Linked DNA regions of Nothobranchius furzeri. The protein of the gene in region 5 interacts with the protein of the main gene of each other region in a pairwise test. Links are inferred from orthologs where the notes say so. Each region holds a gene or a part of one and is shown on either strand. Other genes may lie near its edges.

Region 1 (4,707 bases), on a different chromosome or scaffold from region 5:
ATGTGCTCTCTGTCCCTCATCCCTCCCTCCCACCTGTTTGACTGCAGCTGACTGAGCGCCATAATGGCAGCTCCCGTTGGAGGATTCAGGATCCCGCCCAACCCCGCCTCCCCATCGGACTCTGACGTTTTGTAACTGTGATGTTCGTGCTTCTATGTTGAGGAGTTTTTTTTTGTATAATAGAGCTACTCCCCGCTGGGTCTAACTCTTTTATGCCTTTTTTTTTTACCTTACCCCAATTATCCTCATGCAACACCCTTTCCATCTAATGAAATGAGCGCCATTCTGGCTGCTCTCGTGACTGCCTGTACCTGTTTCTGTCTACATGTGCGTCTGTTTAACCTTGGTCAGGTTGTGTTTGCGGACTCAAGTTCCTATGCACTGGGTCGCTGGAGCGCTGGCAATAAAGCTTATTCTGATTCTGATTCTGATTTTCTCTTGCTTTTAAACAACTGTTTGATTGACTCTAATGAATTAATGATTATTTCTTCTGTTTTGAACATTTTCTGCCTGTTTTGCAGACTGCAGGAGGAGGAGCAGGTGTTAAACCTGTCCATCAAGGAAGCTACAGCTAAAGTAAGCCCCTGCTCCTCTCACCTGATTTGTTTCCTTAACCGCTCAGCCTCCTCGCTGCTTGCCCACAGTGACTGAATGTGTATGAAAGCCTAATAGTCAGAGCAGACAGTAAGTGCCACTGTCGGAGTGCTCAAAATGCAAACTAAATGTCAGTCTGCATTCTTGTGATCTTTTTTGATTTGACAAAGCAGTGATCTCTTCACCGCTGCGTGCTGGAGTCAGAAGCAGCAGGATGTGCCATTTTGAACAGCTTTTTTTTCCCAAGTGAAATAGGGATGTTAAAGATAAAGCTGTCAGATTTTTTCTTTTGAGTAGAGGAAGTACATAATAAAGTAAAAATAGAAGTCTGGTCAGTATGGTGTGTTTTTGTTTACTCTCATTTGCTCCACAGGGATTGGACGTTCCCCTTTTATGCTAATAAAGCTTCTGCAGCTGGAAAAAAAAAGGCAAAAAAGTGTAAGAAATTGCAGTTTACAAACAGCAGGTATGAGAGGTCACGTGTCCTTTAGAAACCCATCATCAAACCACCGGTTTGCTGCACTTCAAAGCAACGTTCGCACTTCCACCAGTCGCAAGAGTTTCCATTGTTATGTTAGGAATGAAAAGTTTGGTTCTTAAATGAAATACCCACCATGTGGAAAACGGCACACTTGCTGTGACGGAACGATTCCCGGCATGAAAGTGACTCTCATTCTCTCCGCTTTTGCAAAATTGACAAAGCCTGATGTTTGGAAATGAAATCGTCGGTGTCAGAATTTCTACAGACGGCAGAAAGTGCTCCACAGAGCTTCTTGCATGAAGTCAAAAATTTCAAGCCTGTTTTGCTTTATTTCTGTGGGAGGAAAGAGAAAAAAAAGCCTCCCTGGAGATGTTCTGCCTGTGAAATACCAATCTATTTGACAACCATGTGCAGAACTGTGTCAGATTCCAGAAGAGGAATAAATGCATAAGAAGATCCACTTCTAGGTATCTTTGAGGTGTGAAAACAATTCTTCAAAAGAAACGAGGATTTTATGTGAATGCAGCTAAAAGTGTGTATGCTTAGGAGCAGAGTGGATGGATCGGATCTTTAAAAAAACTCCATAAATTCTGCTCTGAGCGGCAGCTTCTCATCCCAAAAACCTGCTCTGACTTTCTAATAGTCCATATATTATATGAAAATAAGCCTTTTGTGTCATCTCTAGAGGTTTTTGATGAGGAGAGATGATTCTCGGCTGTGCATTCAGAGCAGAACAGACGCTGAAATGCAGATAAACCTGTAAGGTCGTCAAAGAATGAGTTTCAGATAGAAAATGAAGGCAGACGAGGAAATGAGCAGTGCATCATGTGGGATCCATGCCTGTGCAAAGGTTTTGCTAGTTACCACCCTCCCCATCTCACTCCTCTGCATCTTCTTCTCCTCTTTATCCCCAGGTGGTCATGAGTCAGAGGCTGGGCAGCAGCCTGAGGAGAAAAGTCAGCGAGACCGACACGCAGCTTTTGGCGCTGCATGAAGCCAAACTGGCAGCCATCTCTGGTAACTTTCCACTGAGCTTTACCTCCAAAACCTCCCTGCTACATTACGCATCCTTTCATTTACCCCATTTGCTCGAATCGCTCACCATTAGCCTTGCTTGATTACCCCATTAATGCTCAAGAAGCTCATTAATAGGCGGTGAGAGTGTAATGCCCTCCTGTGGTGCACCGGCGCAGGTAATGACTTCAGCAGCGCCAAGGAGCTGAAGGCTGAGATGAAGGCGGTGTACCTGGAGCGGGACCGGCTGGAGGCTTTGGCCAAGAGGCTGCACAGCCTCAGCTCAGGGAGCAGCCAGGAGCTGGCCGGGATGAAGGAGCAGCGGCAGCAGCTCAGGCAGGAGCTGGAGCAGAGGGAGGCGCAGCACGGTGAGTCTCTGAGGCCTCCTGCAGGTAACAGGATGTTAATAAAATCAACAGCTCTTTCCTGTGATTCAACACTTCTATAGTGAAGAGCTCACCTGGTCATTAACTAGATGCCTGCAAACTGTTATGCTTTACTTTCCTTCCCAACTTAAACCAATACAAGGATGAAAACCTTTTATTAACAACAAACAAGCACCCAGAGAATTCCCTGCGGACTGCCTGAATGTTTTGATGTAAAAACACCACTACAACACCAACGCCGACAGATTATACGTGCTTACTTTGATTTAATGAGGTAAGCAGCAGTTGCTTGGCTAGAACGCTAAAAACCAGCCAATAAATCTAACATGATGTTTTTTCTAGTTTTAAGCAGTCTAGCCACGCAACCTTTTGTTTCTCCAATTGGCGGAATTTTTTTACCCAAAAATTATAAAATTAATAAAAAATATGAAGAATAACATGTCCATTTTTTTATTTTCACTTTCTTGTTGCACCACCAAAAAAAGGAGAATGACCAAACTTGTCGCTCTGTCAGCTCAAGCATCCCGCGTGGCTCCTCTAAACCCCCGCCGCTACTGCCTCCACGCTTATTTAAAACATTGGCAGTGATCTCTAGTTATACGTTTCGTGTCACACGCTGGAGAGAAAATCCTCCAGTGCACCTGTTTCGGGAACTAAAAGTGAGCCAAATCAAAGTTGAGCTTCAAATGATGATTTGGATTCTTACTTCCCGATATTTGGACACCTCGACGTAGACATGCGATTGGCTGACAGCAACGCCACTCCACCGCTGACCCCATTTGCTCTGCAACGTTGATGTTTTATCTCCACACATAAAACAAGCCTGGAGGAGTTCTGCTGTGTGGTGCTAATGCTAACGGTTAGCTTCTACTCGTCAAAATGTGCTCTGCTGTTTCCTGGATGCTGAACTGTCGCGAGTCGAGATCAAGGACAGTGTGACGTGAATCTGTCAGGCTTGACTAACTCTAGAGTTTCACCGTGTGTTTTCTGTTCGAAGGAAATGCAGGAAACAGGGATGGAATACTATTTTCACATTCAGAGTAACCGATCATTTAAAAAAACTATTTGTACCGTAATTTCCGGACTATAGAGCGCACCTCAATATAAGCCGCACCTGGCTTAAAGCCGCAGATATCTACTGGATAGAAGACGTAGTCTAACTGAACGTAACTGAACTGATCAGTATCAGACAAAACAGAAAAGTTACTGATTAGTTTGTTCATCGTCCTCCTGCGCTCTGAAACCACTGAAGTCATCTTCTTCTTCAGTGTCGGAGTTGAGCAGCCTCAGAAGAGCTTCGTCACGCACCTTTTCTGTGGCGATGTCCGTGTCATCATCCCGGGTGAAGCTGGGAAAACAAGCGGCGCCGTTTTACTGTGAAAAACCCCTCCTGGGTGCTTTCCGTAGCGCTCCTTTAACCATTCCTTCATTAGACTTTCCAGCATCCATCCTTTCTGGTGGACTAAAGCCGCACCTCATGGTAAGCCGCGTGGTTCAAAGCGTGGGGGAAAAGTAGCGGCTTATAGTCCGGAAAATAAGGTAATAAGGGTTAAGGAGAACCCTGAATGTGTCAAATAAAACAACCGATCCTGGGTCACTCAGGATGGAAACCCAACCCTCTCGCCATTATCACTCCACTGACCTGTTCTTTATATCTCCACAGCAAAGTTCTAGCAGATACACATGTTGACCACGTCATAAACACACGCCTCGTTGCAGATCTGCTGTTTGTTCAGATGCATTTCTAAAAGTGATCATTTATGCATCAGTTGTAGTAAATCAGTGGTTCCCAAACTTATTTAGCCGCGCACCCCCTTCTATGTCCCGACCATGTCGACGCACCCCCCCCCCCCCCCACACACACACACATCACGGCATGGCTATATATATATATATATATAGATAGATAGATAGATAGATAGATAGATAGATAGATAGATAGATAGATAGATAGATAGATAGATAGATAGATAGATAGATAGATAAATAGATAGATAGATATCAGACGTCAAGCTAAACAGACAGGGTTAAAAAAAATATGATCGACCTTTTTCCCCATCACTTTCATTTTTTAAATAGTAATTAATAAACATTCGATACCATTACAATTTCCTTTGATTTAATTTTAAATAAATATTTAGAGTGCCCAGGTAGCACATAAACAATGCAATTTAACGGTTTTCTTAAAGTAGGAACGTTTAATCTGTGCGGCCAGAGCGCTCTCCTTCCTTC
Region 2 (4,707 bases), on a different chromosome or scaffold from region 5:
AGTTGTTATTTTTTATTTTTAAATCCCAAATATGCTTAATAATTTAGACAAATCTGATCCAGTTTGTGTAAAGTGGCTGTACACTGTAAAAAATTACTGTTTATTTAACAATGATAAACCGTAAAACCATAACAGGAAAAAACCGTCAGCTATAAAACTATTTAAAACTGTTGATTTAATGTGGTGTTGCCACTGGTGAAAACAGTAATTTATAAATTCTTTGAATAAAATACATATTCCCACAGTAAAGCACTCTTTCGTCAGCTTTTTTCATCAACGGTATAAACACTATGATTTTTACATTTATTAATTGAAAACATTACAGCTTTTAATTGCTGATAACGGATACATGGTGTAATTTAAAGGCCCCGTGTGTGAAATTCACAGAAATCATAGTAAAAAGATCCGACTCTTTAGCACCACGCAGTTTATAGTTGGTATTGCAGCTATTGGAGCCCCCGAGGATCAAAAAGGGTTTTTTTAATCATTATTTAAAACTTTATTAACAAATATAACAAATACAATACAAAATCGTGTTGCTGTAAACGGCAGCATGTCATCATCTAATTCCAGCTTTCAAGTCAGCGAACAGGTTAGTTGTTTTCATCTAACTTATTTTATTAATTTAATCTAAATAGGTTTTGAATAAGAAAAACTTTTTTATGTCAGTTATGTTTGCTAATAGCAAACGGCAGCTAGTTAGTGATGACTTCTGACTACAAAAAATGACAATATTTTGTTCATTTTATTTGAGAAATGTTATATTTCTATTTGCCATTTTGGAAATATACAAGGTAGTGTAGTCTGTAATTGTTTTCTCTCCGTAAACAGAGTCAGATATCATCCGATGGTTCATCAGTGAAGACAGACAGAGGACGAGGGAGAGGAAGAGGGCGAGGAAGAGGGAGAGGAAGAGGGAGAGGAAGAGGGAGAGGACAGACGTGTGCCAGCGCACAGAGAGGCAGAGGTGTTAGACATGCGACAGAAGCAGGGCAAGCATCCCAAGATGAAGGAGCCGAATTTGCTCAAACCAGCCGCAACGTTCCACGCACAAGAGGAAGAGGCAGAGCTGCAATAAAGTCTAGAAGATCGGCGCTTTCAAGCACTTTCAAACTATCCCGTTTCTCAAGTTTGCTTGTAGAATATGTGTGATCCTCCATCGCTAGAAGTACGGTGTGGCTAGTTTCTTCTTCTTCTTAGTTACTTTGTCAGACTGCATGCTTACAAGGCGCACTTCTGCCCCCTGCTGTTTCTTTGAGGTTACATCATTTAAAAACGCAAACATCAAATGCGAAGCTTAATATGTTGTATGTCCCTAAAAGGTCACTGTATTTTAAGATGGCGCATGCCATATGGAGCACCGGTCTGCTTCTTTTGTCTAAAATATTAAAATATAAAGCTAATAATAATGCTTAGAATAAATGCTTGTTTGAATTATCATTAAAAAAAAACAAATTTGAGAATGTGATACAAGAAATTTGATAACTTATAAGATGAAATATCACACATTGGGCCTTTAACGTTGTGAATTTTACATTAATGTCACATGAAAACACTAGATTATACAGCATTAGGGATGCAGATTTTCCAAGATTTCTTTAACAAGTTATTGATGCCCTTAACGATTATTAGCCATTAGCCATTAAGTAAATTAATTTGATCATGTGACAAGCTCACTTCTTCTGTGGTGTTTCAGTCAACATATTTTGGTAGCGGCACTCGCGTGCCTTTTAGAGACACAAAAAAAAATTGTAGCAGTTGCTGGGGAGAATTTACTTCCTGTTTCCCAGTGAGCTTAACGGCATTTAGGTGAAGTCTGGCACAAAATAAACAATCAATGATGAACAAGAGTCTGCTTCTAGACCTGCAGAAGGAGAAAAAAAAGAAAAACAACACACAACAATACAACAGGAGCAAACAATCACTGTATCAACCTGATGAGAAAATATTAAATCAACAATGTTTTACTGAACAATCACACGATAATAAATCACAGTGTATTAAGTGCCAACCACAGCCTCAAGGCATGTGTTGAACGTGCCCAAGTCCATACTTATGAGAGCACCATGTGAGCACCTGTGTGCGTACCCGCGCTTGCATATGTAAGGTTTCTCTATAGGAGCGTCCAATAGAGAGTGTGAGGGGCCACAGATCTGCCCCCAAAGATGTGTAGGAGCTCCAAGTCTCAGAGATCCAGGAGCTGCCCCAGAGTGCAGGGACCCCAGGGAGACTGCAACCAGAAAAGCCCCTGCCCCCCTCGAGAGGCGCAGAGGATTGCCCCGGGGGGCCACAACCAGCATCCGGCAGAGTCCTGTGAGATATCAGCGGCAAGCCCACAGGCCCGCCCGCAGCCTCCCACCCCCCAGCCAGCCGAGCCCAGGACCCAGGGGCGACCAACCCCGCCGGGGACCCAGCAGAGCCCAGGGACCCAGATCCCACCAGGCAGCCACCGGGACTGATCAGGCAGACACCAAAAATCTTAAACCCCCTAACCACGAACACTCAGGCAGACCAAGGCACCACACTCCACACCAGGTGTGGCAGGGGGAGGGGAGATGAAGATGTATAGCATCAAAAGAAGTCCCAGGAGGAGGGAGGAGTCAAAGGCCCCACCTGACATATACAGTCATACACAGACACAGTAATACACTCCCTCCCTCATGCTCACACATACACATACAACCAAAGACTTACAAAAATGCATGCCGGACACCCACTCATGCTCCCCATACACACCCTATTCACTCTGGTCCCGGTACTGCTGCACATGGGGTAAAACCATTACCGGTTCCCAGAGTTCGACCCTTTCTGCTGGGATGCTGATGAGCAGACTCCCCCGCCCAACACTGAGCAAAGCAACCCACCACCCCAGACCCCAACCAGATGGCCAGATCCCCCTCCTAGCCTCCAGCTCCGGGAAGCCAAGCAACAACAGAGGTGTGCTAAGACCCCTAATCTCCCTCCGCTTGCTCCAATATAGTGTTAGTGCATGTTGATGAGGTGTAGTCCATGGCTGTGGTGAGCGGGCAACGCGGGCATCGTCTAGCCTACGCCAGCTGATGCCACCACACCACCCCACTTGCACCCACAGCCCTTAGTGTCTAAGTGCAGTTTAAAATGGGAAGTGGGCACCAGCACTCAGAATGAGGCTGAAAAATCCCCCTGCCAAATGCCGTTGAATGTGCTCACTCCCAAGACCCCAAGTGTTTGCGTGGAATGTCGTTGGTGGAAGTGTTTATGGTGCAAATAAAATTGGGGGGCAGATTGCCACAGGAATGTGGAAATGGGGTCCATACCTGCACCCCCTGACTTGTCCACCCCCCCAAGGTCCTATGTGCATGTTTGTGTGATGATGTGAGGGAGCAGGAGGAGAAAAATGTGTGGGTATGGGGAGGAATGGCTGGCTGGGCTTAAGCCCTCCAGGGAGCCAGCTCCCCCACTGGCCCCAATAGGCACCTCTGTTGCCAAAAGGCCACCCAGGGCTCTTTTATCGTAAAATCTAAGATTTTTTGACAGTGTAACATGACAATGAGTTCCCCTATCAGTAATATTATGGACTTATCTGTGAAAGAAACGATTCACTGTGGTAAATTGCAACACTTTTAGAGTGAAAATATTGGTTGAATTGACACGGACACACTTTGTTCTCCCTCTGCAGGTATGACTAGCCTTGGAGGGGTCGTCGATGGACTCTCGCTGTCGTGGTGGCGTTGCCAACGATGATCTCAACTCAGAACTCACACAGGTCACCACGGGGCTTTAATCCCACGCTCGGGGGAACAAAAAACCACACGTGCACTTGGACAAAGGTGGCTGGCACATTTCATGGTGGCTGGAAACCTGCTGACTTGTGCTCAGAAGCTGCGTGGCTGCATGTTTGTTTGTACTCGGCAGTCCAAATTAAAAACAGCATGAAATATTTAGATTAAATTAAATATTTATTAAAAATACCACCATAAGAAGAAGGATGTTCCAGGCAGTATAAAAAATCTAATGTTTTATCACTAAAATGTCTTTTGCTCTCTGGTTATATGATGATTTTTATAGACTCTGCCTCGCTGATCTGCTTCAACATCGCTGCTTCGTCCAGGTTCTGCCAACAGATCCATCATTTGCCTTCATAACTCAATGCCATTCCTTTGTCAGAAGTTATTGCTAAATATTACCACATGTCAAAATAACACGGTGAGTTATTAAAAATGTGAATTTCAAGTGTTCCTTCACTCAAAAGCTCCAAGGCTTTATGCCTGCGCGGGGACTTTTCTGAGCAGAAAGTGCAGTTGACAGTCATTGGGATCAGCTGTGCTTTTCCACAAGCCTTTGTGCAGCTGCAACAGGGGTTGACCTCAGAGTTTAACACCAATCGGCTTGGCACCACGCTGGACCTGGGTCACTTCAGAATTATGGAGTGGTCCATTTCTGCTCCTCACTTCAGACGATACATAATTCTTCAATCCAACTTGAGGTGTATAAAGCCTTTGAAAGCATGATATGGCGAGTTCTAGGTTCTCTCCTGTTCAGACAGGAAATCATCTGTGTCCACCACAGCGGACGCTAGTGCCAAACAGTGGGTGCTCCAAACCAGCAAACAAGATGCATCAGCTTGTTTGAACTGCACACATAGCATACTGTTAAAAGATCCAGAGCAAACACGGTGTATGATTAACCTCCGTTTAACAGCCATTACAGCGGCTTTAGGAGGAGCCA
Region 3 (4,165 bases), on a different chromosome or scaffold from region 5:
TTTATTTAGTTACATTTCTGATATTTTATGTGTCGAAAGCGTTTATCTATCAGGAAATTGACTTGTGTGTTTTCAGCATTTCTGCTGCAGCATCAACATGAAGAGGAAGTGGTTTTACGCCTTTTAGCTTCGGTTTTAACATCAACTTCAAAACGAGCAAAACAAAGCCGCTTCTGAGGCTGAGCACGCCGTTACATGCTGCTCATCGTGCCCCCTAAGCTCTTACTTACTTGTTAGGAGTTTAATTCTTTCATTTCTAGAACAATATTACCTCTAAATGTTGTGAGTACCTGCTGAAATGACTGTTGGACTGAGCCGCTAACAGAACTTGACAGCATTTGGCTGGTGGGAGGTGTTAACCGTCCAGTCTGGTGGTCTGGTTCAAAATCCAAGCTTTGCTGTGTGTCACTTGTGATGTTTCTTCCATAAAATAAGTGACATCTCTCTTTTTCCTATTTCCTCCTCCAGTCAAAGGCTCTCGGCCAGGAAAGAATGTTCAGCTAACGGAGAACGAGATCCGCGGCCTCTGCCTGAAGTCCCGTGAGATCTTCCTGAGCCAGCCCATCCTGCTGGAACTGGAAGCTCCTTTAAAAATATGTGGTGAGTTTTTGTAAAAATTAGGGGCTGGAATGTAAAATTATAGTTTTTCTGTTTATTTTGAGTTTATTCCTCCTAATAGTTATTGCTCATAAACCAGGAGCTAATTAGACTTTTTCTCCTCACATAAAGGAAATCTTACACAACATGTTCCTCCATTGGCTGAAGTCTTATCCTGGGTTTACACAATGGCTGCCTTTTGTTTGGGTTTCAGCATATTACACATCCTACCATTTGTCATAGTATTTGTCACCTAAAGTCCTCTGGAGCAACTCGAAGCCCAAACTCTGCTTGATCAGACAACCACAATGTAGGTTATCACACCCAAAGTTCACAGCTAATCTGGCGACAAGGACAAGTTCGTCTTGCACAACACGTCCATTAATGACCTTATTATTAAAGCTTTAAAATAGTTTTATTGTGTGAACTTCATCAGCTTTTCTTTTCATAATTGTCTAAATAGCAAGTCGATCAATTACAATACAAAAACCAAAAGAATATTTTAGGGAGATTATATCACTAAGACTCTAAATTATCTTTTTCTATTAATAAAAGGAATGAGAGTTTCAGAATTGGTACGGTCCACTTAAAGGCTGGCTAGTTAAAAATAGGATTCTTCCTCATAAATGACAGTAACGCTGACATGGTGTTTCTTTGCTGCCCCCTGCAGGTGATGTCCATGGTCAGTACTATGATCTCCTCCGGCTCTTTGAATACGGAGGCTTCCCTCCTGAAAGCAACTACCTGTTCCTGGGGGACTACGTGGACAGAGGGAAGCAGTCCCTGGAGACCATCTGTCTGCTTCTAGCTTATAAGATCAAATACCCAGAGAACTTTTTCCTGCTGCGTGGCAATCACGAGTGCGCCTCTATTAATCGAATCTATGGTTTTTATGATGAGTGTAAGTGCAAAAGATGTCTGTGAATAATGAACAAGTCAGAGTTGGTTGTACAAATGCTGCAAATGTTTCTTTTTCTTTGCTGGTAGGTAAGCGACGGTATAACATAAAGCTGTGGAAGACCTTCACAGACTGCTTCAACTGTTTACCTGTGGCTGCCATTGTAGATGAGAAAATCTTCTGCTGTCACGGAGGTAGAGCTAGTGAACGTGTGCTTTACGGATGATGAAATATGAACGACTAACAAAACCTGATGTTCTCTCTGCGTCGTCTTTAGGCCTCTCTCCGGACCTCCAGTCCATGGAGCAGATCCGCAGAGTAATGCGACCCACAGACGTGCCTGACCAGGGTTTGTTGTGTGACCTGCTGTGGGCAGATCCAGACAAAGACGTCCTGGGTTGGGGCGAAAACGACCGTGGCGTCTCCTTCACATTCGGAGCAGATGTGGTGGCCAAATTTTTGCACAAACATGACATGGACCTAATATGCAGGGCGCACCAGGTGATGTTTGAGTGGTTTTGTGTAACTCGCCAGGAAAGCTCTGCTCCTGTTAACTTTGATCTCTGCTTGTTGTGGGGGTGTTATTGGGACATGAGTCAACACGCTGTGATATTGCGTCATCTATGTAAATTTAATCCTTTGAGGACTCTAGTGGCTTCTTCATTCTTCTAGCACTGATTCATTCGGACTTGAGTCACTTTTATGTTCCTCGTGTTTTTACTGGGATGCACCCTTCACAGGGGCACACAAAGGTTACGTACGGTAGTTCCTAATTTAGCTCAAGTACAACTGTAATGTAAGAACTGCAACTCAAACATTTCACAAACGTGTCGGGGAGGAAAATCTTTTTCCCTGATTATGTTTAATCGTTCTCACCTGGACCTGAGAAACCCTACTAGTCTTTGTTCTGACACTTTTATTTCTGTGCTAAGGTCGTGGAAGATGGTTATGAGTTTTTCGCAAAGAGGCAACTCGTCACTCTGTTCTCAGCGCCCAACTACTGTGGAGAGTTTGACAATGCTGGTGCCATGATGAGTGTGGACGAGACGCTCATGTGCTCCTTTCAGGTGGGTAAACACACGGCCTGTTTGTTACTGCTCCATGTAGCTTAGCTGAGTGATCTTCGTATCATTTGTGTGTGTGTGTGTGTGTGTGTTTCCTAGCTCCTTGTCAAACGGATGTTTAACATATTGAACTTGACAAATATTCAAATTGGGACTTTAAATTAGAAGAAATTGTGTTTGCCATTTTAATGTGGATCATTCCTTCATCTGTCTTGCAGATTCTGAAGCCAGCAGATAAGAAATTGTATTCTTTCGGAGGAGGAGGAGGAGTGGGATTAGGAAGACCGGTCACTCCTCCAAGAAATTCAGCCAAGGCCGCTAAGGCCAAGAAATAACACCTGCTGAGTTCCCTTCCTACAACCTTTTCACCCTCTGTTGGCCCAACTTTCTTTTTCTTTTTCTACCTCCTAATCTTGTTTCTCTTAGTTACCGAATGGCAACAAAGACGACCAGTGTCCAATGTTCATTCGTGTGTTATATATATTTTGTTTGTTTCTAAAACAAAGTTCAAACGTTTATCTGGTTATTTACGTGTGTGTGTGAGAGGGAGATGTGAGAACGACACAAAGGGAGTTGCTGTATTCTGTACGTTTTATTTCCCTTCCTCTTGGTCTTTCTGTTGGTTGCAGAGACGGGTTTGTCCCACTCATCATGTAAATCCTAGCCTGGCTGCAGGGGTGGGAGAGCACAGCGCTGACTGATTATGTTAAGGCCAGGCACTGTTCAGCATTACTTTCATGCTTTTGTAAATCATGTTTCACGTATTCATTTATGTCTTTGATGGGTGTGTGTGTGTGTGTGTGTGTGTGGGGAGATCATAGATCAGGTTGCACAGCTGGAAGGTAACGGCACAGGTGGATCTATAGAAGTGCAGGTTAATGCTCGAGTTTGATGAATTCACAATAAGATGACTTATTTTTTTTTCCTTCTTCCAACTTGAAAATCGTTTGAGATGACATGGATGTGATGTAGAGTTGCTCTTTTCTTCAACCTAATTTTTGTTTTATTTTTGTAGATAACTGAAATGAGTATGGTTTTATTTTCCTCTTTCTTTTTTTTAGTTTATTTGAAGCTGAAGATGAATAAAAAGTAACCATTTATTTGAATACGCCATCATGCTTATCACTTTGTTATATCTGTCGCTCAGTGGTTGGTTTCTGTTGTGGTTTTGACTGCTGCACCTTGAACTAATGCAGCTTTGAAGAATTGTTTTATAAATGGGATGTAAATGATGTAAATACTGGCAGGTGTGCTTCTGGCCCGGATGATACACAGATTAAACCGAGACGTGAGACTTGCTGCTTCAGTCTGATCAGGACGTGTTCATTAGAAACGAAGAAAATGATTATTTAAAGAAAACTTGGGATTGTTGTAGAGCTGGGCTGGTGTGCGGCAGCAATATTTTAGCTGAAATACTCAAACAGCTGTCATCCAATAACAAACTGACAGTTAAATAGATTTAATATTTCATACTGTTAAGAATGCAAGCTTTATTTAAAATGAGAACAATTAAAGGAATATCAGATTGTTGATCACATTTAAATCCTTCATTTGATTGTAAGTTAAACAAATATAGTGTTAAATTTCAGACCCAAATTCTACAATC
Region 4 (4,707 bases), on a different chromosome or scaffold from region 5:
AAAAAAAAAAAGGTGGTGGTGGTGGGGGACTGGATACACTCAGCTGTAAGAGGTTGGATTGGGGGGTTAAACCACCAAATAGTTCCCGAGCCCAGCCACTGCTGCAGCTCAACGCTCCCCACAGGGATGGTGTGATAATGACTAATTCAGTGCAACAATCCATAATGGCACAGGGTTGATGTTGCTGCTTCATATTGATGATCTTTACTCTTGTTTGACAGTGGCCTTAAGAATGACTACAACAAAGAGACATTCACATTAAAGCACAAGATTGACGAGCAGATGTTCCCCTGCAGATTTGTAAAAATAGGTAAGGGCTGTGTGTGCTGTAATAAGTTTACATAGGGTATCCGCGGGTCCTTAAAAGTCTTAAAAAGTCTTAAATTAGCTTTTCCACATTTAAGGCCTTAAAAATCCTTAAAAATTACAAATAATCCTTAAATACAGTTTCCAAAGGTCTTAAATTACCAAAGACCCAATAAACAAGATTATTTTATTTCTATAAAATTTTCGTGAATTTCTAGTTAGTGTTCAGCATTTTATGTGTGTCATATTTGCATAAGTGGAACCGTACACATTCAGTTGGTTGTGAAAGGGGGCTATTTTTAGATGAGCACATTAGCTGGTTAAGCTAGTGGGAGCTTGCATCATGGGGAAGTGCAAGTTTAATGGTAACTGGATGGCTAATCCCACGTTCGCGACGTGGTTAGAACCGGTTCCAGGCAATAGCTGGAAATTATAGCTTAAATGACATTTTAAAAAAATGGCTTAAATTTGGTCAAAGGGGCCTCAAAAAAGGTCTTAAAAAGTCTTAAATTTGGCCCCCTTAAACCTGCAGATACCCTGTTTACAGTGCTCGTGTTTTGCTTAGGTACTCATTTGTCAAACTTTTTATCACCTCTCGTCTCAGTGCCTCTGATGTCCTGGGGTCCAAGTTTTAACTTCAGCATCTGGTACATTGAACTTCATGGGATTGAAGACCCTGATGTGGTGCAGCCCTGCCTTAACTGGTACAGCAAGGTGAGACCTGGAGCGTTAAATCATTCATGTGATAGATTAATCAGCAGGTATGACAATAAAACTGTTAGAATACTTGGTGACACACCTGGGCCCTCATTTATCAACCATACTTACGAACAGATCTGTGCGTATTTGGTGCGTGGGAACCTAATATTAATGTCGATGGTGGGAACAAACATGTTCCTAAATATAAGAACAGCTCTGACCATGGGTAGGAACAGCATCTATTGGTAGAACAGGGGAACTGTAATTCTGAAGTTCTCAGTCATCCATGCGTGCTCCTCATCCACACATTTTATTTATCCAGTGTGTAATTATGTCGGTGGAAAAACTGCATAATTGGTGCTAAAGCCAATAAAAGACACCTGTGACCGACAGGAATCTGACATTATATCATGGCTGATCTGTGTTTTTGGAGGATTTAACAGAGCGTTCACTCTGGAGGGAACGCGTTCTCTCAGCGCACTGATCTCAAAGGAAATCCTGCCATGCTGTTATTTGGCAGTCTTTGTGGCGCGAGAGATAAACCACACAAATCCAACTCCAGTTCATATTTTATTTTACAGCTACGAGAACCCTCCAGAACCTCCTCTGCTCTCCGATCATACACTCTGCGTTGCCAGGGTAACCAGATTGAATGACCGTTGTGAAGAGGCTGTGTTCTCAGACCGAAATTCCAATAAAAATAACTCCAAACAGAACGACTCCATAACCCGTTACTCCACAATTTATCATGTATGGAATTTATCATCAGACGATTGCGGGGGAACGGGCGTACGAGAGGCCACCGCGTGTTTCTTAAATTCGTCTTCGGACTGTTTGTACACACATTCTAAATTTTGGTCATAGGAGGGAATAAAGGACAGTCTCTACGAACGTTTCGTCAAGTACGTGTCAGTTCTGATAGGGCCAGACAGAAAGTCAAACACAAACCGTGTAAAACATCTGGCTACTTTCAAAATAAAAGACGTGCAGATTTCCTGTTGCATAACTAGTAAAAAAAAAAAAAAACGTCATTACCTGTGACACCTCTGTAGTCGAGGTAAACACACGCGTGAACGGGCAAAATCATGTGCAATCTTGTAATTCTCCTGCGGTGCCAGCTGCTTGGAACTCTTGCAGCTGTTTCCCGTCTGAAACTCTCCAGGCGGGAAGAGAGGTGTGGCTGAGGTCACGGGTAAAAGCGTTTATTACCAGTCTAGTGAAAAGGCTCAGGTTAAAGGGAAATTTAGCAGTTTTGGTTTGCTTTTAGTACCCCAGTGTTCATTTTAATTCACTGTAGTTAAAAACAAAACTGAAACCCTTGTCCTTGCTGTGCGTTTGAGTTTTCAACACCTTAATCTAACTGCTGAAATGTCTCCTCAGCCTTCATTAGTTTCTACAGGAGCAGTTATCACTAAATCAAACGGATCAGCTGTGTTCATGATGTACAACATACAGGAATCGCGTGTCTGAGCTCTTGCTATTCAGAAGACTCCAGTGTTTGACTCTTGTTTGACTTCTATTGTGATCGGGTGTTCTTTTTATTTTCTTAGCTTCACCAGATAAATGTTTTCTTTGTTTCTTCTGAGGCGTCTGATTGCCAGAAAGAGTGCAGCGTCTGCCTCTTCCGACCACTGCCCTCGAGTCTCACACATTCAGACGGGGGATACTGTTCACAAGGATCCTGTTCACAAGGGGCAGAGAGGGCTGAGAGACTTTTGATTCGCCCTGTGAAGGGTCATTTATCACCTACTGGCTCAAAAAAATCATTTATAACTAATAAAAAGTTACTTGACATGCCTTTAACAGGTGGCCTCTTCACAGGAAGCAAAAACCAGGGTCAGCTGTTCATTACCCTGCTGTATATAAACTTATTTACTTGATTTTTATTTATTTTTATCATGATGGTGGTTTGTTTACAGTTAATTTGCTATTTTGAGTTTGAATACAGTTATGCAGAAAAACCTCACAGAATCCAGTTGTCTTCTAGTGTTTTAGTTTAAAAAAAACTCTCAAGATGTCCAAAACATTGATTGGTAGCTTCTACACATTGATCATTTATTTTGATATAGGTCCTCTTGATTGACATTTAAAACTTTATTATGAATTTCAAAACTATTTGGTATTATTTGGTATCTCCCAAGTACTAAAAGGGACCTTTTGGTGACAGAGAACATGTTTAAAGTACAGATTTATACAGATTAGCCTCATTTGTGTGGTTTCAGTACAGAGAACAGGAAGCCATCCGGCTTTGCCTCAAACACTTCAGGCAGCACAACTACACCGAGGCCTTCGAGTCGCTGCAGAAGAAGACCCGGATAGCTCTGGAGCACCCGATGCTCACTCATCTCCACGATCGACTGGTCTTACAGGGAGACTTTGATGCCTGCGAGGAGCTCATAGATAAAGCTGTGAGAGGTAAATAAAAACTTTTAAAAATGTATTTTGGTGTGATCTACTCAGAAAACCGCAGATATGCTGTTCTGCCTTTCATTATTTCTACTTAAACAGTCTTTTTCTTTCCTTTACAAGATGGCTTGTTTAATCAGTACATCAGCCAGCAGGAGTACAAGCCTCGATGGAGTCAGATCATCCCAAAGTGTAACAAAGGGACAAGCAGCCAAGAAATCAGCCGAGACGACGTGAACAGTGAGACAATCTTTTCCTAGTCCGTCCGTTAAACATTTCAGTCACATGAGAGCAGCTACAACATCTAACCCTTTATGTGTGCGCCACCCCCCCCCCCCCCCCCCCCCCCGTTATTCCACTCCCTCACTTTCCTCTCTGTCATCCCCCATCCACTCCACTCCCCTTCCTTATCCCCTCCCTCCTCTTGTTCCAGGTGATGGTGACGACAACAGGCCAGGGATGAGGGGAGGACATCAAATGGTCATTGACGTGCAGACTGGTGAGACCTACGCAGACGGTGTTATGAATTTACTGTGACTCACTTCCTCCTCCACAAACTCAAAATGCAAATATCTGTCTGTTTAATCAGATTAGACTTTCCTCTTCGCTCCCGTCACCTCCAGCTTCTCCAGACATTATAACATCTGTTTTGACAGCAACGCGATTTTAGTTTGGGGTGTTTTCTCCATGTTTTTGGTACTTCCTTGCTGCCTATCTGTAGAAAACAAAAGGCTAGTGTGTGTGGGTTAGTGATGCAGCGTCTGCAGCTCGTTTCTGAGCTGCTTTGTCTCTGACCACACACTGACAGCTGTGTTTTGTTTGGAGGACACAACATAAGTTGATACAGGAAATCAAGAAAAAAAAAGACAAGCCATGTACCAGTCCCACGACTTGTTTATCTGCAATACCAAATCATTTTTAAACCCTTTTGTTTATATTAAGCATACAATTTCTCATGTTCTGTTTCTCATACAATCATCCATCCATCCATCCATGTTCTGAACCCGCTTAGTCCACGTAGGGTCGGGGGGGCGGCTGGTGCCTATCTCCAGCGGTCAACGGGCAATCAGGCGGGGTACACCCTGGACGGAGAGCCAGTCCATCGTAGGGCAACACAGAGACACACAGGACAAACAATCATGCACACACACACACGCACGCACACGCACACACACACACACACACACACACACACACACACACACACACACACACACACACACACACACACACACACACACACACACCCACCCCTAAGGACAATTTAGACAGACCAATTAACCTAACAGTCATGTT
Region 5 (4,707 bases):
AGAAGTCACAACCACAGTTTGTAGTCTGGTCTCGCTTAGATAACACATCCCATTTCTCACATAAAAACAAGATCTGTGAAGGGAAAAACAATCTAATCCAGCCTGAGTTTCAAAAACAAACATTTCAGCTTTTTAAGGCTCTTACTTTTGGATCATGGACTGCCATTCACCCTCACGCTCCCCGATGGGGCATCTGTCGATCTGGGCCTGGATTTTTGTCCTCCACTCTCGCATGTAGTCCTCAATGTCAAACACAAACGGGTGCTGGCCAAAGTTTGCATCCACCACCTCCCCTGGAGTCTGAAGGCCGACGGTCGGGTACAAGTTAGGCTGCAGGAGAAAGGGAGACAGGGTTAAATTCAGGAGCGAAGGAGGGAACCGGGAGAGGAAATTAGTCTGTACCATAAATCAAAACAGGAAGTAATGACTGAGAAAACAGGAAAAAGGAAAATCTAAGGAAATAACTTTTGCTCTATCATTAAAACGTTAGCTAAAGGAGACAAAATGAGTTATTGTGTAATTAACCCGCCAGTAAAAAGGATTTTCACAAAGATTTAGCAAAAAATAAAATAAAAAAAAATATCCATCAAGGTGACCGACGGCCTGGTTTGTTTATTGGAAACAATGACTCAGCGTTTTTATTGCCAGGTGCTGAGATTTCAGACTCCAAACACTTTTTGGCACTCGACGTTCCAGTCTATTGTTTTAATCTAATCTTCCTGTCGCCACAGTTTCCTCCCCATAGATGTTGTCTCTGAGGATCAATAGTTCCTCAAACTGAACTCCAGTTTGGTTAAACGCCAACTGGTGAAGATGAACAAGCAGAAGCAGCTTTTAGTAGAAGTTTTAAATGCTTGTTGGGAATTTTCTATCTAATTTATTCTATAAAATTATATTTAAAACTCAAAACATGCTAGCCTGGCAAGCCAGATTAAATAAATGGCCTAACTTTGCTAAGCAAGAGTTTGGTCTAGTTCTCCAGGCTACGGACATGCAGAAGAACATGTAACATAAGCCGAATCGACATTTACACTCATAACTCGCTACATTACACAGTCAAATATCCACATCCTGGACAGCTGCGGGCACCAGACTCACACCCGTGACTTCATGCTGAGACTTTGATGGTTTTTCTGTGGCTCTAAAATGTTCACAGAAACACAAACTGGGTGATTTGTTTGGTTTCTGATGGAGGAAAAAATACACATGTATGAGCTGTAAAGAGCAGAGCACGTGTGCGAGGCAAGGATTGGGTCAACCAATGGATGTAGTCCATTAAAATCACTTAAAGAAAATATGCAACAAAGCTGTGTGTGTCTCTCAGGCTCGTCTTCGTCACTGCTCGATAACCACAAAGGTCAGCTGTGCCGAGGTGACGCACTTCACTGTACATCTCTGGAGGAACATGAATATCAGGCTCACAGCCAAGGCTGCTCAATAGATTATTGTTGTGGTTAAGAGTCTTCTGTTCGCTGCTGAAAAAACAGTCAGCCCCTGTCTTCATTTGCATCCCAGTCTGTAGAAGGTGGAGAGAAACTTTGCTCTCAGCTCAGTTAACGCGTGCATCAGTCCCACTGGGTATGGGAAGTGTTCATGTGTGGAGCAGGGTACGACAAAACTGACATGATGGAAATATCAGAACTTTATGGCCCCAAACTAAAATATTCAGAACAGCAAACAGCGCTCTTATGAACATCTATAACAGTTTGTGAGGGTTCTCAGATTTTGAGTCTCAAGGCTGTTTCACTTGAATTTTGAACATATTCAAATAATCCACTAGAAGTAGATGTTGAGTGGAACCATCTCAAGTTCTTCTCAATTTAGTTTTTGTAGGTCAGGTGTTCAAGACGACTTTGGGAGAAGCTGAAGACAAAATTGCAAATAAATATGGCAAACAAAATGAGACAGAACTCTGAGACAAAAGCCAGTTACACATCTTCATCTCTTAATCATTAACATATGACATGAATGATATACAGGTTAACTCTAGTTTCTGACCAAAAACAGACCACAACATTACGACCGGCCCGTAAAGCATCTTGAACTGACTTTAGAAAAGTAACATCTTTTCAGTCGCTTCAACAATCAAACATTTGAACCTTTCCGGTTTTTCACCCTTTAATCAGATTTTTTATTTATTTATTTTTTACAGAGTAAACACTTCAGAGGAAAACTGAAACACTTCTCTGAATCAAGTTGTGTCTAATGATATATAATCGAGATAATGAATAATGATGATGATAAATAATGGAGACTAAAGATAAATCAAGGGTAAACAGAAGTGGCTACTTACTGGTAAGTCTGTGAAGGCGATACCTGCAAGAGAATAAAGGCAAGAGTCAGAATGAAGTGAATCGTATCTAAAAACAACAGAAGGCCAGAGAGTCTGTGTTCACAGAAGATTAAATAACCAGGTTATTTCTGCAGAAACCTGATTTAATTAGTCGTGTAAACCAGGAAGGAGGTTTCCTGTAGCTGGTTTACATTTTCGGATTTAACATCCAAACACCGATTTCAGAGCAGAGGACAAAAGAAAAGTGTTTAAAATTTAAAAAGCTGCAGTTTCCTTTCTGCTCTCTGTCTCTCAGATGCAGCGAATACAGGAGAACAAATGTGACTTTTGCTGTAACAGATTTTTCTGTGGAATTAGCTTTTAGCCTTCTGGACATAAAATGTTCCAGATTTTTATTTTTTTCCCACCATTTAATTTTCTACAATATTTATTGGAAATGTTATAATAAATGAAGGAAAATTTCACTGAGCCAAAAACACGTTCAGTGAACTCACTGTGACACGACGCCCATGAACATGTCAGCTCATCCTTGGTTAAATGATTTGTGGCAAAAAGCAGCAATAAAAAACCTCATGGTGCTTTTTAAGGTTTAAGTTTAGGAAAATAAAAACAACCCAGTTGTAAGATGCTCAGAAAAAACATGTTCATCCTTGTTAGATGTGAATTCATCTGAGAAGAATCCATTATTGGGAGGAAGGTGAGCAAAATAAATCCAAAGTGAATTAATAAATGACAATAATAATACTGTATAATAAAGGGAATGACAACATTTACTCCATTGCAGCAACCATTAACAGAAATTAGAGGTTGAGCATCTTAATTTGTGTTTCGATAATGAACATAGCTCTTCATTCAAATATTGTTTTATTAGATTCGATTTTACTAGATTAACACGTGCTCCATGTAAATACACACACATCCATTAAATAAAGAACTGATCCAGAACCAGAGGGCAGCTTGATGATTTCCATTTTCACTTTTCATAATAAAAATCATCCCTTTAACCGAGCACAAATCTGTACCGAAGAGCCCTGCGGCTTCGGTTCTGCTTACCTAGGCTGTGGCCGTTCTTTGTGTAAAAGCAGGTGTTGTTGATGAGGTTAACGCAGCAGCCAATCACATCGCCCGTTGTAAATGTAGGTCCGTAGGGTTGCCCGGTGCCAGAGGAGCAGAAGGAGTGGCCATCGTCTCCGTGATAACCATATGAGTGCTTGTCCCAGCCTGAGAGCAGCAGAAAGGTTCAAAAGGAAACTTTATTGTTCATAATCCTGATGACAGTACCACTGCTGTGATTAAAGCATAAAAATACACAAGTTTATAACACAGAAACAAATAAATTGGTCTTAAATTTAAAAACAATCTGCATGATCTTCCCAGGAGAAAACGGCCAGAAACGAAATCTGGGAAGGAGAAAGGGATCGACCAACATTCCTACTGAGGATGCATCCAAAACCCTGCACTAATGTCCCCCAGACTCCTTTGTGCCTCTGCAGGGTGTGCTTTGTTAACGTGAACAGAGCAGAGTTTTAACTCAGGATCTCATCTGGGCACTCAGAGAAATCAGCTGAACACACATATAGTGGGGCAAAAAAGTATTTAGTCAGCCACCGATTGTGCAAGTTCTCCCACTTAAAATGATGACAGAGGTCAGTAATTTACATCATAGGTACACTTCAACTGTGAGAGACAGAATGTGAAAAAAAAATCCATGAATTCACATGGCAGGATTTTTAAAGAATTTATTTGTAAATCAGGGTGGAAAATAAGTATTTGGTCAATAACAAAAATTCAACTCATTACTTTGTAACATAACCTTTGTTGGCAATAACAGAGGTCAAACGATTACTATAGGTCTTTACCAGGTTTGCACACACAGTAGCTGGTATTTTGGCCCATTCCTCCATGCAGATCTTCTCGAGAGCAGTGATGTTTTGGGGCTGTCGCCAAGCAACACGGACTTTCAACTCCCTCCACAGATTTTCTATGGGGTTGAGGTCTGGAGACTGGCTAGGCCACTCCAGGACCAGGACTTTTCAAATGCTTCTTACGGAGCCACTCCTTTGTTGCCCGGGCAGTGTGTTTGGGATCATTGTCGTGTTGGAAGACCCAGCCACGTTTCATCTTCAAAGCTCTCACTGATGGAAGGAGGTTTTGGCTCAGAATCTCACGATACATGGCCCCATTCATTCTGTCCTCAACACGGATCAGTCCTGTCCCCTTAGCAGAAAAACAGCCCCAAAGCATGATGTTCCCACCCCCATGCTTCACAGTAGGTATGGTGTTCTTGGGATGCAACACAGTATTCTTCTTCCTCCAAACACGACGAGTTGAGTTTATACCAAAAAGTTTTACTTTGGTTTCATCTGGCCACATGACATTCTCCCAATCCTCTGCTGTATCATCCATGTGCTCTC
Region 6 (5,406 bases), on a different chromosome or scaffold from region 5:
CTGACAGACTCTTCGGTCCAGATAAAGAAAAATATTAAACAGCAAAACATTAAGAACAATAAATGAAACAAAACAGGTAAAAACAAATAGAACAAATAAAAATTATAAAAGCATAAAAATAAAATTAAAATCTATTTTTAAAAACTTACTACAGAGATGTTCCACACGATTAAGAGTAACCACACAAACACTGGGTATTTTGAGTATGATCTTTAAGGCATCGTTGTGTGCAACGTGCAGCTTATTCATGCTGCTGTGATTGCAGGATGACCGCAGTTGGGCTGTATAAAGCGGAGTACAATATGCTTTAAATAAAGCCACCTTAACTGGAGGTGAACAAAAACCAAACTTACGAGCTATAGTATTAGCTTGTGCATACAGCTTACAGCACTGTCTGTGGATGTCAGCATCACCACGCATTTGATCAGTTATAAAGTAGCCAAGGTATTTCACCTTCTCACACACATTAAGATCACTATTAGACAGTTTGAACACAGGAAAGTTTAGCTTTTTATCTTGCTTGGTTCTACATATCAAGATAGCACTTTTAACAGCATTATACTGGATATCGTACTGCACACCATATTCAGAACAGATATTCAGGAGCTGCTGTAAACCAGCACTACTTGGACTGAAGACCACCAGGTCATCAGCATACAAATTAAATAAGATAGACAGAATTCCACCCTGCCTAACACCATTACTAACACCAAATGGTGCAGAGATGCTGCCACCCCATTTAACCTGCATCATCTGATGAGCATACCAGTAAGACAGGATTCTCACAATAACCCCAGGGACCCCCCGTAGCTTTAACTTAATAAAAGGTTTTCTGTGGTTTACACGATCAAAAGCCTTAGAAGCATCAATAAAACACATAAGGACAGAAGAAGTTCTATTTCTATACCGGTTCACCATTTCTTTAAGTGCGTATATACACATGTCAGTACCAAGTTTTGGCTTAAAGCCAAACTGATTATCCAAGGAATTAAGGTACACAGTGATTCTATCAAATATGATTATTTCTAGATAAAACACTGGCTAGTGCAATCGGCCTATAATTATCTATACTGGTCACCTTCCCAGATTTGTTCTTAATAACTGGGACAAGCAGAATTGCCATCATTGAGTCTGGTAGTATGCCATGAATCATAAACCCTGTAAAACAAAGAGCTAAAAGGGAAGCTAGCCTTAGGCTAGTATATTTCAAATGTTCTGCACTAATGTGATCCAGACCACAAGCCTTGTTATCAGCTAGTTTGTGAATAGCTTCATGCACCTCATGGGTCGTTAAACATCTATATGTTCATCATTAATAACAGAGCCATCCTCATACCGATCACTTTTTAAACAATTTTACATTGCATAATAATGTTGTCTCCATAATGCTGCAATATTATCTTTCCCATTGATCTGCTATTTTTTAAAAGTGCATTTTAATTAATTACTCCATAATTATCTTGTAATAAGCTGATGTTCCCTTCAGATAAGAAAATATAAGTCAATCATGCAGCTTTTCTATTTCATAACGAATCAAATTCTACAGTATAATATGTAAAAAGAAACTTTCTTAATTTACATAGGTGTGTGTGTGTGTGTGTGTGTGTGTGTGTGTGTGTGTGTGTGTGTGTGTGTGTGTGTGTGTGTGTGTGTGTGTGTGTGTGTGTGTGTGTGTGTGTGTGTGTGTGTGTGTGTGTGTGTGTGTGTGTGTGTGTGTGTGTGTGCAAATTATGTATAAATTATATATTTTTTCTTTTTCTTTTTCACCCTATGACAAGGCCCAGACAGACATAAATACATTTCTGAACAGATTGCTCTTATAAGACGTCTTGATATTCCTGGTAAATGTGAATATCTGCCATGACACTTTCTGCTGCTTCTCCGTAGACATGAATGTCTGTGTGCTACCCATCGACATGTGCATATACTCCAGGTGCCACCTGCAGCTTTGTCGTGTTTATAATAATATGCTCAGGCGTTCTCACATCCAGACCAGTAGGAGGCAGCAGCGGTTTAGTTAGCAGCAGCTAGCTCTTAGCAGCTAGTTAGCAAGGTGCGGCAGCGGAAAAGGAAAACAGACTGGTCTCCTCTCCGCGCTAGCGCAGCTTACGTACATTTTTATGTCGCGGTTTTTATGAAGACGTACACTAGATTTTACTGAGAACAAATATTGCGATTTTTTTAAGTAGCTTATTATATTTTATGAATTATTAGCCAGCACGTAAACAGATACTGGGTTGATCTGAAATATTTCACGCTAAACCGGAAAATCAATATCGCTAAGACGATAGCTAATGCTAGGATAGCTAGCGGGTTAGCTCTCCGAACTGAAAGACCTACCTTTGGCTGAGTTCATTTAGTAAACGACTGCAATGGCTGATGTTGACAAACTCAACATAGACAGTATTATTCAACGTCTTTTAGAAGGCAAGTATGTTCATAAATGTTGTACATTTACACAAATTTTGACGCTTTACAAACAGGCAGCGCATTATATCATGAAACCCGTTTGCTAATGTTTTCCGTTATTATTGGTTTTACTCCCGAATTGACATCTAATGTGTTTTAATTGTAAATTTTCAATATAATCAAATGACAATGAAAGATTTGTAAAAACAGTTACTAAACTATATTAACGTAGTTGCGCATACCGGCGCTAGTCCGCCTTTGCGTGACCTATGATTTTAGCCGCTGCTGCTGGCTTTTATTCCTTCTCATCTACAGTAGATGATCTACTATTATACATATGAACATGTTTACTATATTTTAAACCAACAAAATAAACTTCGTAACGCTTGTCCCGATAGAATATAATAGTATGATGATGCATCTCGTACAAATACGTATGTTACTTCCTACATTTCCAAACAAATACTGCATCAGGCACTGCTGACAAAGCAGCAATAGTTATGTTGTTTTTTTGCTGACTGATGTTTGTGTTTTCTCTGCAGTCAGAGGAGCAAAGCCTGGGAAGAATGTGCAGTTGCAGGAGAATGAGATTCGTGGATTGTGCCTGAAGTCCAGGGAGATTTTTCTCAGTCAACCCATTCTTCTGGAGCTGGAGGCCCCTCTCAAAATATGTGGTTAGTAAAAACCATCATTTTTTTATTTACTGTTGCTTATTAATAAACGTTTTTCTCTTCGAGCTAGATTCTACCAATTACATAAATGTCAACATTTGATTCCAAAGTTAAAAGCTTGCTTGTCCAGTTTTTGCAGGTGCATTATTTATTTATTTATTGCTGTTTGTTTTGTTTTGCAGGTGACATTCATGGGCAATACTATGACCTGCTGAGGCTGTTTGAGTATGGAGGCTTTCCTCCAGAGAGCAACTACCTGTTTCTGGGCGACTATGTGGACAGGGGGAAGCAGTCTTTGGAAACCATCTGTCTTCTGCTGGCCTACAAAATCAAATACCCAGAGAACTTCTTCCTGCTGAGGGGAAACCATGAGTGTGCTTCAATCAACAGAATATACGGTTTCTATGATGAGTGTGAGCAGCTTGCCATTTAATTGTGTCACTGTTTGGTCTCTTGTGTGAACTTGCAGCAGCTTTCATGTTGTTAAACGTTTACCCCGGGTTTCCACGGGAGCCGTCAGCAGCACGTTACTGCAGCAGCACGTCTTGCTCGCGTAAGCTGCTGCTTGGCCCTTCCCACGAGACGCGAAGCAGCAGGGGAGCAGCTGTCACCGACAGAGCACGAAGTCACACGAGTGACTTCGTCAGTAAACACAACAACAAGCAGGAGAAAACTACAACATGGTTTGGGTTTTATGTTCTGTCCGTTTTATAATGGCCAATACGGACCTGAAAACAAAGGAGACCGCTAGCTAGGTGATAACTTCTCATGGGGACGCACAGTTAGTAACCTTTTTTAAAAGTAAAGCAACCGGAAGGCAGTACGTTCTTTATTCTGAAAATCTCTGTAGCTTCTCTCCTTTTCCGCGTCAGATTTCCTGTCTTTCCTTCCCCAAAAATGTCGAACTTGACCCGTTTCAGAGGCGTCGCGCGTAGAAAATAGAACTGGCGCGTAAAGGCTGCGACATGCTGCTCCTGAGACGCGGCCGACTCGCGCTGCTGACGGCTCCTGTGGAAAGCCGGGGTTAGTGAAAACTTGAATTTTTGTTGCTGTTGTGCCTTCAAAATAAAAGCATAACTATTTGTCTTGTTTTAGGTAAACGAAGGTACAACATCAAACTCTGGAAGACCTTCACGGATTGTTTTAATTGCCTCCCTATTGCTGCCATTGTGGATGAAAAGATATTTTGCTGTCATGGAGGTGTGTTTTGTCTTTAACAGAATATTGATGTTTAATCAGAACGTTTATGTTGCCTAGTGGAAAGCAGCTCGTCAGAAGAGGCTTGGCTTTGACGTCAGCCGTTCTTATTTGTCATTGTGAAATGATGTTGACTGGTGTTTGCAGCGACCCATGTGAAGTAGGTCTGACCTCTGTATCAGTTTGTTTGTTTGTACAACTGCTGTGTTGTTGCTTTCAGGACTGTCACCTGACCTTCAGTCGATGGAGCAGATCAGACGCATCATGCGGCCCACGGACGTGCCTGACCAGGGCCTCCTGTGTGATCTGCTTTGGTCCGATCCAGACAAAGATGTTTTGGGCTGGGGCGAGAATGACAGGGGGGTCTCGTTCACCTTCGGCTCAGAGGTGGTTGCCAAGTTTCTGCACAAGCATGACCTCGATCTGATCTGCCGTGCTCATCAGGTAACTGTGCTCACACGGTGGTGCATGGACATCGCGTCCTGTGCTGGCAAACTGTAGACTAAAGAGGAGGCCAGGTGCTCTTCTTACATTATGATCCCGGTGGGAAAGGAGGATTGTTCCTCTCAAATGGAGGGAATAGAAGCTAGCTCTCATTCACTCCTCCATGAAGGTCCTGATAATGTAAACAGAGAAGCATAAAACAGGATGTTAGCTGCAGACTGAAACAGATCCTGTTCAACTCATCCGCTGATTAATGTGTTTATGTAAGAACACACATAGTAGTGTTGTGTTTAGATCAGTCATATGGCTGAAGCCTGCACCTACATGCATGCCTCTCTGTCAGCCAGATGCTAAATGGTGGAGAGTTTTAATATTTCTGTGGGTTTTTTTTTAGTATTTGGTCTTTTTTCTTGTTTCAGATCATTCAGAGCGTGGACTCAGTTAAAAGACAGGAGGGTTTTATGTGAAAATAAGACTTATTTTCTTCTTCAGCATCTAAAATCAAGAACCGTTTCAGAAGTTTATCGTTTGTAATATTAGTATTTGAATACTCAAGCCACATCACATAAAGCAGACCTGCCCAACCTGTACGCATTTTGCGTAGCCAATTTGGCATCTATCTACGCTGGTACGACTCACCCCTCTAAACTACGCAAAAAGCTAACGATACGTGAGTTGAGTTCTG

What was found.
Region 1: the proteins of ranbp9 (region 5) and disc1 interact in binary tests that used the Homo sapiens proteins (3 or more experiments, as listed by UniProt). The link is inferred for Nothobranchius furzeri from reciprocal best matches to the Homo sapiens genes RANBP9 and DISC1.
Region 2: the proteins of ranbp9 (region 5) and oprm1 interact in binary tests that used the Homo sapiens proteins (3 or more experiments, as listed by UniProt). The link is inferred for Nothobranchius furzeri from reciprocal best matches to the Homo sapiens genes RANBP9 and OPRM1.
Region 3: the proteins of ranbp9 (region 5) and ppp1caa interact in a two-hybrid assay, tested with the Homo sapiens proteins (2 studies listed by BioGRID and IntAct). The link is inferred for Nothobranchius furzeri from reciprocal best matches to the Homo sapiens genes RANBP9 and PPP1CA.
Region 4: the proteins of ranbp9 (region 5) and mkln1 interact in a two-hybrid assay, tested with the Homo sapiens proteins (2 studies listed by BioGRID). The link is inferred for Nothobranchius furzeri from reciprocal best matches to the Homo sapiens genes RANBP9 and MKLN1.
Region 6: the proteins of ranbp9 (region 5) and ppp1cc interact in binary tests that used the Homo sapiens proteins (3 or more experiments, as listed by UniProt). The link is inferred for Nothobranchius furzeri from reciprocal best matches to the Homo sapiens genes RANBP9 and PPP1CC.

Annotation. Positions count from the first base shown.
Region 1 is NC_091752.1:2,347,043-2,351,749, forward strand, and holds part of disc1 (disrupted in schizophrenia 1 protein), read left to right. Parts: intron 1-521; coding exon 522-576; intron 577-1,989; coding exon 1,990-2,092; intron 2,093-2,268; coding exon 2,269-2,457; intron 2,458-4,707. UniProt on the Homo sapiens protein: Involved in the regulation of multiple aspects of embryonic and adult neurogenesis. Required for neural progenitor proliferation in the ventrical/subventrical zone during embryonic brain development and in the adult dentate gyrus of the hippocampus.
Region 2 is NC_091752.1:24,311,567-24,316,273, reverse strand, and holds the end of oprm1 (mu-type opioid receptor), read left to right. Parts: intron 1-831; coding exon 832-1,152; 3' UTR 1,153-3,645; downstream 3,646-4,707. UniProt on the Homo sapiens protein: Receptor for endogenous opioids such as beta-endorphin and endomorphin. Receptor for natural and synthetic opioids including morphine, heroin, DAMGO, fentanyl, etorphine, buprenorphin and methadone.
Region 3 is NC_091745.1:8,621,860-8,626,024, reverse strand, and holds the end of ppp1caa (protein phosphatase 1, catalytic subunit, alpha isozyme a), read left to right. Parts: intron 1-468; coding exon 469-600; intron 601-1,267; coding exon 1,268-1,498; intron 1,499-1,584; coding exon 1,585-1,689; intron 1,690-1,772; coding exon 1,773-1,996; intron 1,997-2,427; coding exon 2,428-2,562; intron 2,563-2,777; coding exon 2,778-2,894; 3' UTR 2,895-3,228; downstream 3,229-4,165. UniProt on the Homo sapiens protein: Protein phosphatase that associates with over 200 regulatory proteins to form highly specific holoenzymes which dephosphorylate hundreds of biological targets.
Region 4 is NC_091741.1:63,266,374-63,271,080, reverse strand, and holds part of mkln1 (muskelin), read left to right. Parts: intron 1-221; coding exon 222-310; intron 311-910; coding exon 911-1,020; intron 1,021-3,227; coding exon 3,228-3,420; intron 3,421-3,534; coding exon 3,535-3,651; intron 3,652-3,844; coding exon 3,845-3,910; intron 3,911-4,707. UniProt on the Homo sapiens protein: Component of the CTLH E3 ubiquitin-protein ligase complex that selectively accepts ubiquitin from UBE2H and mediates ubiquitination and subsequent proteasomal degradation of the transcription factor HBP1.
Region 5 is NC_091751.1:36,409,231-36,413,937, forward strand, and holds part of ranbp9 (ran-binding protein 9), read right to left. Parts: intron 3,515-4,707; coding exon 3,347-3,514; intron 2,317-3,346; coding exon 2,294-2,316; intron 331-2,293; coding exon 146-330; intron 1-145. UniProt on the Homo sapiens protein: May act as scaffolding protein, and as adapter protein to couple membrane receptors to intracellular signaling pathways. Acts as a mediator of cell spreading and actin cytoskeleton rearrangement.
Region 6 is NC_091757.1:28,391,705-28,397,110, reverse strand, and holds the start of ppp1cc (serine/threonine-protein phosphatase PP1-gamma catalytic subunit A), read left to right. Parts: upstream 1-2,063; 5' UTR 2,064-2,372; coding exon 2,373-2,427; intron 2,428-2,951; coding exon 2,952-3,083; intron 3,084-3,262; coding exon 3,263-3,493; intron 3,494-4,175; coding exon 4,176-4,280; intron 4,281-4,497; coding exon 4,498-4,721; intron 4,722-5,406. UniProt on the Homo sapiens protein: Protein phosphatase that associates with over 200 regulatory proteins to form highly specific holoenzymes which dephosphorylate hundreds of biological targets.